2 linked regions of the Macaca fascicularis genome follow. The main gene of each other region encodes a partner of the protein of the gene in region 2 in a complex. Links are inferred from orthologs where the notes say so. Each region holds a gene or a part of one and is shown on either strand. Other genes may lie near its edges. The genes, in order: XRCC4 and IFFO1.

Region 1 (3,818 bases), on a different chromosome or scaffold from region 2:
GGGAGAAGCAATCAACTATATAAAATGTGCTGACAGGCTTAATAACATGAGGACTAAGAATGGGCCAATCACTGGATTTAGCAACATGGTGGTCATGGCTAACTCTGATATTGTTAACTTTGAATAACATGGAAGGAATGGATATTAAACAGGTAAGAAGTGAAGATAGAATGAAAGGTTAAGAAGCAGAAACAGTGATTACAAAGACAATAGTGCCGGATGTTATTGCAAAGAGCTATGACAAGGTCCTTGTCTTCAAGAAGGGCCCGTGTATGTGTAAGATAAATCTTTTATCAATAATCCCTGAAAAATATGCTTTTTTTTTTTTTGCCACAAAGGGGGTTACATTTACATTAATGAGCAGTTTCTAAAAACCCGTTACTTACTATAATAAAAATTAACTTAACACATTTTATTAAGAACACAAAACCTTGAATGTATCAAAAATTTTATTATCAGATTTTCAGAATGTTTATGTACAAACTAAAATTATATTTTATACATCATTACACAAATTAAAATGCTCAAACATCAGTGTTCAGAATATGTTTTAATATGTCTATTCAAAAAAGGCTGAAGACATTTTAAAAGGATGTTTTCTTTGTCCTATTTTCAAAATCTTCCTAGACAGGATGTTAGATAGCTATCACATATAATATGTGTGAATGAATATGATAAATGTGGCCTTTGCAACAAGAAGTCTGAAATTTTAGGTAATTATAGGCATGCTGAATGAATAGTTTAGAATAATGTGCCAGTGTCATCATCAAATACTATCTTCGTATACATGTGTAATTCATTTTGCACAATGGTTTCAATTCAGTGTGTATGTAATTAAATTGTAAGGTACAGTAATAGCTGCTAACTTGAAATTCTGCCTTTTCATTTTAAAGAAATGAATAGAAAACATAGTCTAGTGAACATCAAAGTGTTTTTTGAGACTGTTAAATCTCATCAAAGAGGTCTTCTGGGCTGCTGTTTCTCAGAGTTTCTAAAGACATGTTTTCAGCTGAGATGTGCTCCTTTTTCGATGTCTCAGGTAGTGAAGAATCAGGCCTAGAGTTGAAAAGAAAATCAAAATAGTTTTATTTTTAAAAACTTCTGTTATAGAGTAAAAGAAAATGAAGAGACACATAAGTGAAATGACAGTCAAATCCTGTTTCAAAATTGGTTTCGAGATTTACTTCTCTATGCTGTTAACTGTAAGGAAAGAGATGAAGAGACTAATTTCTCTAACTGCTTTAGAATTAATCTGTCTCTATTCTGACCCCAGGAAAATTCAAAAACCTATAACAATACTCATAATTGAGGTCAAGAAATAAAATATTCTATCCTCTATGCTATAATCACTTTTATGCCAGGATATAGAAGGTTTTTCAAGTTACTCCTTTAATGATTTCATCACAATTTACATTTTACTCTGGCTTTCTTAAATTCTACTGATTAACGTGCATTTTAATCTCTTAGCAGCAGAAAGTTTTGGTCCCATGAACTACCTTTAGTGGGTCGGATGACTATGTGTATATATGAAAAATAATGATTTTTCACATTTATAGCAGTTGTTGATGAAATGTTGGCCCATATTCATTTATCGAATCTGCATATCTTCATTTAGTGAACTAAATTTTACTCAGGTTCGTATTGTAGTCACTATTTCAATGGATTGAGTGCTATACTTATGTAGATATTTTCTTTGAACCCTAAGATAACAGGCTGACTGCCATGATCACTATTAATTGGTCTTAGAAAGACTGTGCTGGAGAATAACAGAGCTCAATCAGAAGTAAAGCTTTGGAATGTCTGTTAATATCCTTGTAGAAACCTTGTCAGTGGTTCTCTGTGGAACCTAAATAAAGTATGCTTAATTTTATCAATTAGAGGTGGCTTCCGGGGTGATTATGATTAGGTTGAGCTAACCCAGTAACACTTGGTAATAGCCCTCTATTTCCAACTTTGAAGGCCATGGTGGAGTTACAGCACCTTGGTATAGCTGAGAAAGCATGGAACTTGAAGTCGGGAAAAACAAGTTTGAACCCAGGTCTATTTCATATTAGCTATGTAACTTTAGGCAAGTCATTTAAACTAACTGGGCTTCTATTCTCTCCACTGTAAAACTGAGATATTAGTACTTTTCTAGAGGTGGTCTAAAGATGAAATGAGTTGATGTAAATGAAAATGCTTATAAATTCCCACAAAATATTTGGAAACTATTATTATTATCTGCTAATACTGCATAAACTACATACGAGTTTCCGTTAACAGCAGAGAAGAATAACTATTGAAAACCCCCACATATCAAGTATGTTTAGATGATGAGTATTTTCAAAAGCTTGCACCCTTACCTGGTTGCACAGATTATTAGAAACGAGTTCTCCTTGGCATCATGATTAGAGACAATTAACTATGGTTGGCTGCCACTAGACCTGGGACATGTTCTGTCTTATTCTGAGCAAGCCAATTTCAGACAATATTATCATCACAGGAGTGCCAAGGTGCTAGGCATTAATGCATTCAAGATGACAAGTACTACCCTCTGGGATTTGCAATGTTAAAATTAACAATAAATACAGGCATAATTATTGTAACATGTAATTAAATATCTAAAAATATATTCCAAAGGAGGAGAAAATGATACAGTATGGGATAAAAGTATAATTATTACAGGTATACGTTTTCTTTGTCAACTCAAAACACATTAAACACTTTTCTCTGGCCAAATGTCTTAGAGTTGCTTGTACTCCTCCTAGGCAAAAGAGATAACTGAACTATCTCAATTAAAAGTAAGAAATGGAAAAACAAGCAAGGCAGATACAATAAATGGTGCACGGCAAAGTGGCTAGCCATTTGCAGAAGATTGAAAGTGTGCCCCTATGTATTAGTCCATTCTTGTATTCCTATAAAGAACTACCTGAGACTGAGTAATTTATAAAGAAAAGAGGTTTAATTGGCCACAGTTCCACAGGCTGTACAGGAAACATGGCTGAGAAGCCTCATGGTAGAAGGTGAAAGGGAAGCAGGCCCGTCTTACACGGCTGGAGAAGGAGGAAGCCGGGGGGAAGATGCCACAAACTTTTAAACAACCAGATCTCATGAGAACTCACTCACTATCATGAGAATGGCAAGGGGGGAATCTGTCTCCAGGATCCAATCACCTCCCACCAGGCCCCTTCTTCAAGATTGAGAATTACAATTAGACACATGATTTGGGTGGGGACACAAGTCCAAACCATATCGCCCTACCTTTCAACATATACAAACATTAACTCGAGATGGATTAAAAATTTAAATGTAAGATTTCAAACTATAAAAAACTTAGAAGAAAACCTAGGAAATATCCTTCTCAACATTGGCATTGGCAAAGAATTTTTGGCTAAGTCCCCAAAAACAATTGCAACAAAAACAAAAATTGACAAGCAGGACCTAATTAAACTGAAGAGTTTCTATACAGCAAAAGAAACTATCAACAAAGTAAATAGCCTACAGAATAGGAGAAAATATTCTCAAAATATGCATCTGTCAAAGGTCAAATATCCAGAATCTATATGGAACTTAAATCAACAAGCAAAAAGCAAATCGACCCATTAATAAATGGGCAAAGGACACGAACAGACGCTTCTCAAAAGAAGACACACAAGCAGCCAACAAACATATGAAAAAAAATGCCACACATCACTACTCATCAGAGAAATGCAAATCAAAACCACAATGAGATACCATCTAACACCAATCAGAATGCCTGTTATTAAAAATTCAAATAATAATATATGCGGGAGAGGCTGCAGAGAAAAGAAGACACTTATACACTGTTGGTGGGAATG
Region 2 (3,818 bases):
GGCGCCTGTAGACCCAGCTACTCGGAAGGCTGAGGCAGGAGAATGGGGTGAACTCGGGAGGTGGAGCTTGCAGTGAGCCGAGATCGCGCCACTGCACTCCAGCCTGGGCGACACAGAGCGAGACTCCATCTTGGGGGAAAAAAAAAAATCTCACTCTATCCAGACCGGGACATGAACCCTCCCTCTGTCCCAAGGATCCACACTGTCTGCACTGCCTGCCCATTAGTTACTTGGTAGCCATCTCAGTGATCAGATTGACTGTCATGGTATCGCAGGGCCTGTGTTCAAGGAACCCTTACTTTTACTTCATAATGGCCCCAAAGCACAAGAGTAGTGATGCTGGCAATTTGGATATGCCAAAGAGAAGCCAAAATGTGCTCCCTTTAAGTGAAAAGGTAAAAGTTTTCAACTTAATAAGAAAAAGAATCCGATACTGAGGTTACTAAGGTCTATAGTAAGAATCTTCTATCCGTTAAATTGTAAAGAAGGAAAAAGAAGTTTGTGCCAGTTTTGCTGTCACACCTCGAACTGCAAAAGGTACTGCCACACCGCATGCTAAGTCTTAGTTAAGAGAGAAAAAGCATTGAATGTGTGGGTGGAAGACATGAACAGAAACACGTTCCGGTTGATGGCACCTGGACCCAAGCTATCAGGGGGTCAGTGCTATCTTTGGTTTCAGGCATCCACTGTGGGTCCTGGAACACATGCCCTGCAGGTAAGAGGGCACTACTGTATGAATCTCCCACATGGGCTTGAAGAGAGGCTGAGAGTCAGAGAAGGCTCCATGCCTCTCCTCAAGTCAGAGCGTCGGGAAAGGACCATCTCACCAGGCCAGGAGAGCTCACAGGGGTCCCGTCCATCCCTCCTCCCACAGCAACCTCCATTCTGTGGTTCCACAAATCCTTCCTTTTTTTTTTTCTTTTTTTTGAGACAGAGTCTCGCTCTGTCACCCAGCTGGAGAGCAGTGGCACAATCTCGGCTCACTGCAAACTCTGCCTCCCGGGTTCATGTCATTCTCCTGCCTCAGCCTCCCGAGTAGCGAGTAGCTGGGGCTACAGGTGTCCGCCACCACGCCCGGCTAATTTTTTTTGTATTTTTCGTAGAGACAGGATTTCACCGTGTTAGCCAGGATGGTCTCGATCTCCTGACCTCGTGATCCGCCCACCTTGGCCTCCCAAAGTGCTGCGATTACAGGCGTGAGCCACCGTGCCCGGCCTCCACAAATCCTTCTTGCAGGTCCTAAAGCCTAGAGTTTGAGTTAAAGCACCAGCTCCACTTGCCTCTAGGTACCTCTAGAAGGTACTTCAAGGCTTGGGAAAAAGCATGGAGACTTCTGTTATCTCAACGGCTGAGTGGAAGAAACAGAAAAGTCCCGGTCCGTCTCAGTGCTATGGCACTGATAGTGTTAATAATAATAAAATGGTCCCCACTATGCTACACTCGCTATGAGCCAGACACTGCCCTAAGCTCCATATGTGCATTATTTCATCCGCTCTTCTAAACAACCCTATAGATGAGGTACTATTAAATTCCTCATTTTACAAATAAAAAGGCCAGGCGCAGTGGCTCATGCCTGTAATCCCAACACTTTGGGAGGCCGAGTTAGGAGGACTGCTTGGACCCAGAAGTTTGAGGCCAGCCTGGAAAGCATAGTGAGACCCTGTCTCTGTAAAAAATCAAAAAATTAGCCGGGCGTGGTAGCACACGCCTGTGGTCCCAGCTACTTGGGAGGCTGAGGTAGAAGGATTGCTTGGATCCAGAAGATCAAGGCTGCAGTGAGCCTGGAGTGACAGAGCAAGACCCTGTCTCAAAAAAAAAAAAATAAAATAAAATAAAAATAAATAAATAAATAAATAAATAAATAGAAACAGGTACAGGACAGGACACATGGCTCGTGCCTTTAATTCTAGCACTTTGGGAGGCCGAGGCAGGAGGATCACTTGAGCCCAAGAGTTTAAGACCTGCCTGGGAAACACAGGGAGACCCCATCTCTACAAAAAATAAAAAATAAAAATTAGCTGGGTGTGGTGGCGCACACCTGTGGTCCCAGCTACCCAGAAGGCTGGGGTGGGAGGATCACTCCAGCCTAGGCAACAGAGTGAAACAGAGTGAGACCTTGTCTCAAAAAAGAAAGGACAGAAAGACAAGAGAGGGAGGGAGGGAGAGAGGGAGAGAGGGGAAGAGAGAGAGAGAGAGAAAAACGGGGGAAGGGAGGAAGGGAGGAAGGAAGAGAGGGAGGGAGGGAGGGAGGGAGGGAGGGAGGAAGGAAGGGGCTCAGAGGGAACAAGTAACTTGTTACACGTTCAGAGTGGTTGTAAGTAACAGAGCTGAGATTTGAACCAACATCTCTCTGCTTCTAGAGCCTGAGGTCTTCAGAGCCCACCAGAAGGACTATAGCTGAGAGATCACTCCTCCTCCCAAGACCTTGGTCTCTAGGGTCCTGCAGGAGGGATGAGGCCACTGCACCTGCAGCCCCACTCAAAACCCTCTGGGACACTGTGCCCCTGGCTTCCGCTCCTGCCCTTACCTCTATCTGGTCAATGGTCTCCTGATACTCCTTCTCCCGGGTTTTGAACAGGGACTCCGTATCTTTAATCACCTTCTCCAGGCTATCTTCCTGCTGCTGGAGTAGAAAGGGAAGCAGGGGAGGCCAGCCAGGGAGGGATGGGATAGGGCGCATTCCAAGGGCCAAGTCAGGGAGAGAGAGAGAGAGAGGAAGTCCGGTTAAAGAAACTGGAGAAAGAAAAGCAAAAGGATAAAGGAAGAGGGGAGACGCAGGTAGAGGATGACAGCCACATGGGGGGACAGAGCGAGGAGAGGAGCGGGGGGGTGGGCGTCAGGCTGGAGAGGCAGAGCCAGAGGGCCCTGAGGCCGGGAGCAGAGGTTACCTCTCCCTGGGCCTCTGCAGCTGCCATGGCATAGCCTGAGAAATCCTCCCAAAGCAGCAGGGTCTCCTCAGTCTCCTCCCAAGTCAGGCTGTCACAGTCGTCCTCAAAATCATACTCCCTCCTAGAGACAGGGAACCCGGGTGTCAGGGCGGGCGGGGCCTCGTCCTGGCGGGGGACTGGGGAGCTCCGGCCTCCTGGGCTGCTGTGGCATCGGTGCTACGGGAGCACGGCCTGCGGACTCACAGCTGGTTGAGCATGCGCTGCATCTCCTCGTTGATGCTGAGGGCTGTGCTCTCCTCCTCATCCCCATCGGGCTGGCGGGGCCCCTCACTCTCCGACAGGGAGGTGTCCTCCTCGACGGCAGCCTTGCGCTCCCGCTTCCGCCCCCCCATGGATGGGACCTTAATGGGAGACAAGTGCAGAGACTACAGAGACGAGGCCGGGTGCATGAGGAGAAAGGGCGGGAGCGGGAGGCCGGGCAGAGAGGGCGGGAATGGGGGAGAAGCGTGAACCAGCAGGAAGGGTGGGGCAGACAGAGAGAAAAGTCACAGTTACAATGACAGGAACAGAAACACGGACAGTCACCAAGGGCCAGGCACACAGACACACAGCAGAGGCCAGGGCTGCAGACTGAGAAGGCAGAACAAGAAGAAATCGAGAAAGAGAGAGTCAGACAAGGGAGGAAGGGCTCGCTGGGGCCGCAGTCAGATGTGCATGATGGCTCAAGAGGAAATTTATTTTCTACAAAAAGTCTTTCTGATTAAATGACTCAACTAAAAAAAAAGCTTTAGGTTGCAAGGAGGATGAGGGTGCAATGTGTACAAAGGAGAACCTGAATCACATCCAGATCTGGAAAGCCAGGGGAGAAGGGAGAGAAAGAAATGCAGTCAAGAGAACAAGAGATAGAGAGAAAAAGGGGAAGAGCAAGGA

The links.
Region 1: the proteins of IFFO1 (region 2) and XRCC4 are in contact, whole or in part, in a crystal structure (PDB 6ABO), measured with the Homo sapiens proteins. The link is inferred for Macaca fascicularis from reciprocal best matches to the Homo sapiens genes IFFO1 and XRCC4. Residues at the interface, in NP_001317253.1 of Homo sapiens: Arg469, Glu470, Tyr473, Ile477, Gln479, Ile480, Glu481, Glu483, Leu484, Ala487, Lys488, Asp490, Met491, Arg493, His494, Leu495, Tyr498, Met501, Lys505, Leu508, Asp509, Met512, Cys515, Arg516, Leu518, Ile519, Thr520, Gln521; in NP_001304941.1 of Homo sapiens: Trp155, Val158, Gln159, Phe162, Glu163, Cys165, Val166, Lys169, Glu170, Glu173, Leu176, Tyr177, Phe180, Val183, Leu184, Lys187, Lys188, Lys190, Ile191, Leu194, His195, Lys197, Leu198, Ala201, Ala202, Arg205, Glu212.

What each region holds. Positions count from the first base shown.
Region 1 is NC_088380.1:87,285,345-87,289,162, reverse strand, and holds the end of XRCC4 (DNA repair protein XRCC4), read right to left. Parts: intron 1,057-3,818; coding exon 945-1,056; 3' UTR 432-944; downstream 1-431.
Region 2 is NC_088385.1:7,467,865-7,471,682, forward strand, and holds part of IFFO1 (non-homologous end joining factor IFFO1), read right to left. Parts: exon of another isoform or gene 3,314-3,818; coding exon of another isoform or gene 3,290-3,313; coding exon 3,132-3,289; intron 3,010-3,131; coding exon 2,889-3,009; intron 2,624-2,888; coding exon 2,528-2,623; intron 1-2,527. UniProt on the Homo sapiens protein: Nuclear matrix protein involved in the immobilization of broken DNA ends and the suppression of chromosome translocation during DNA double-strand breaks (DSBs).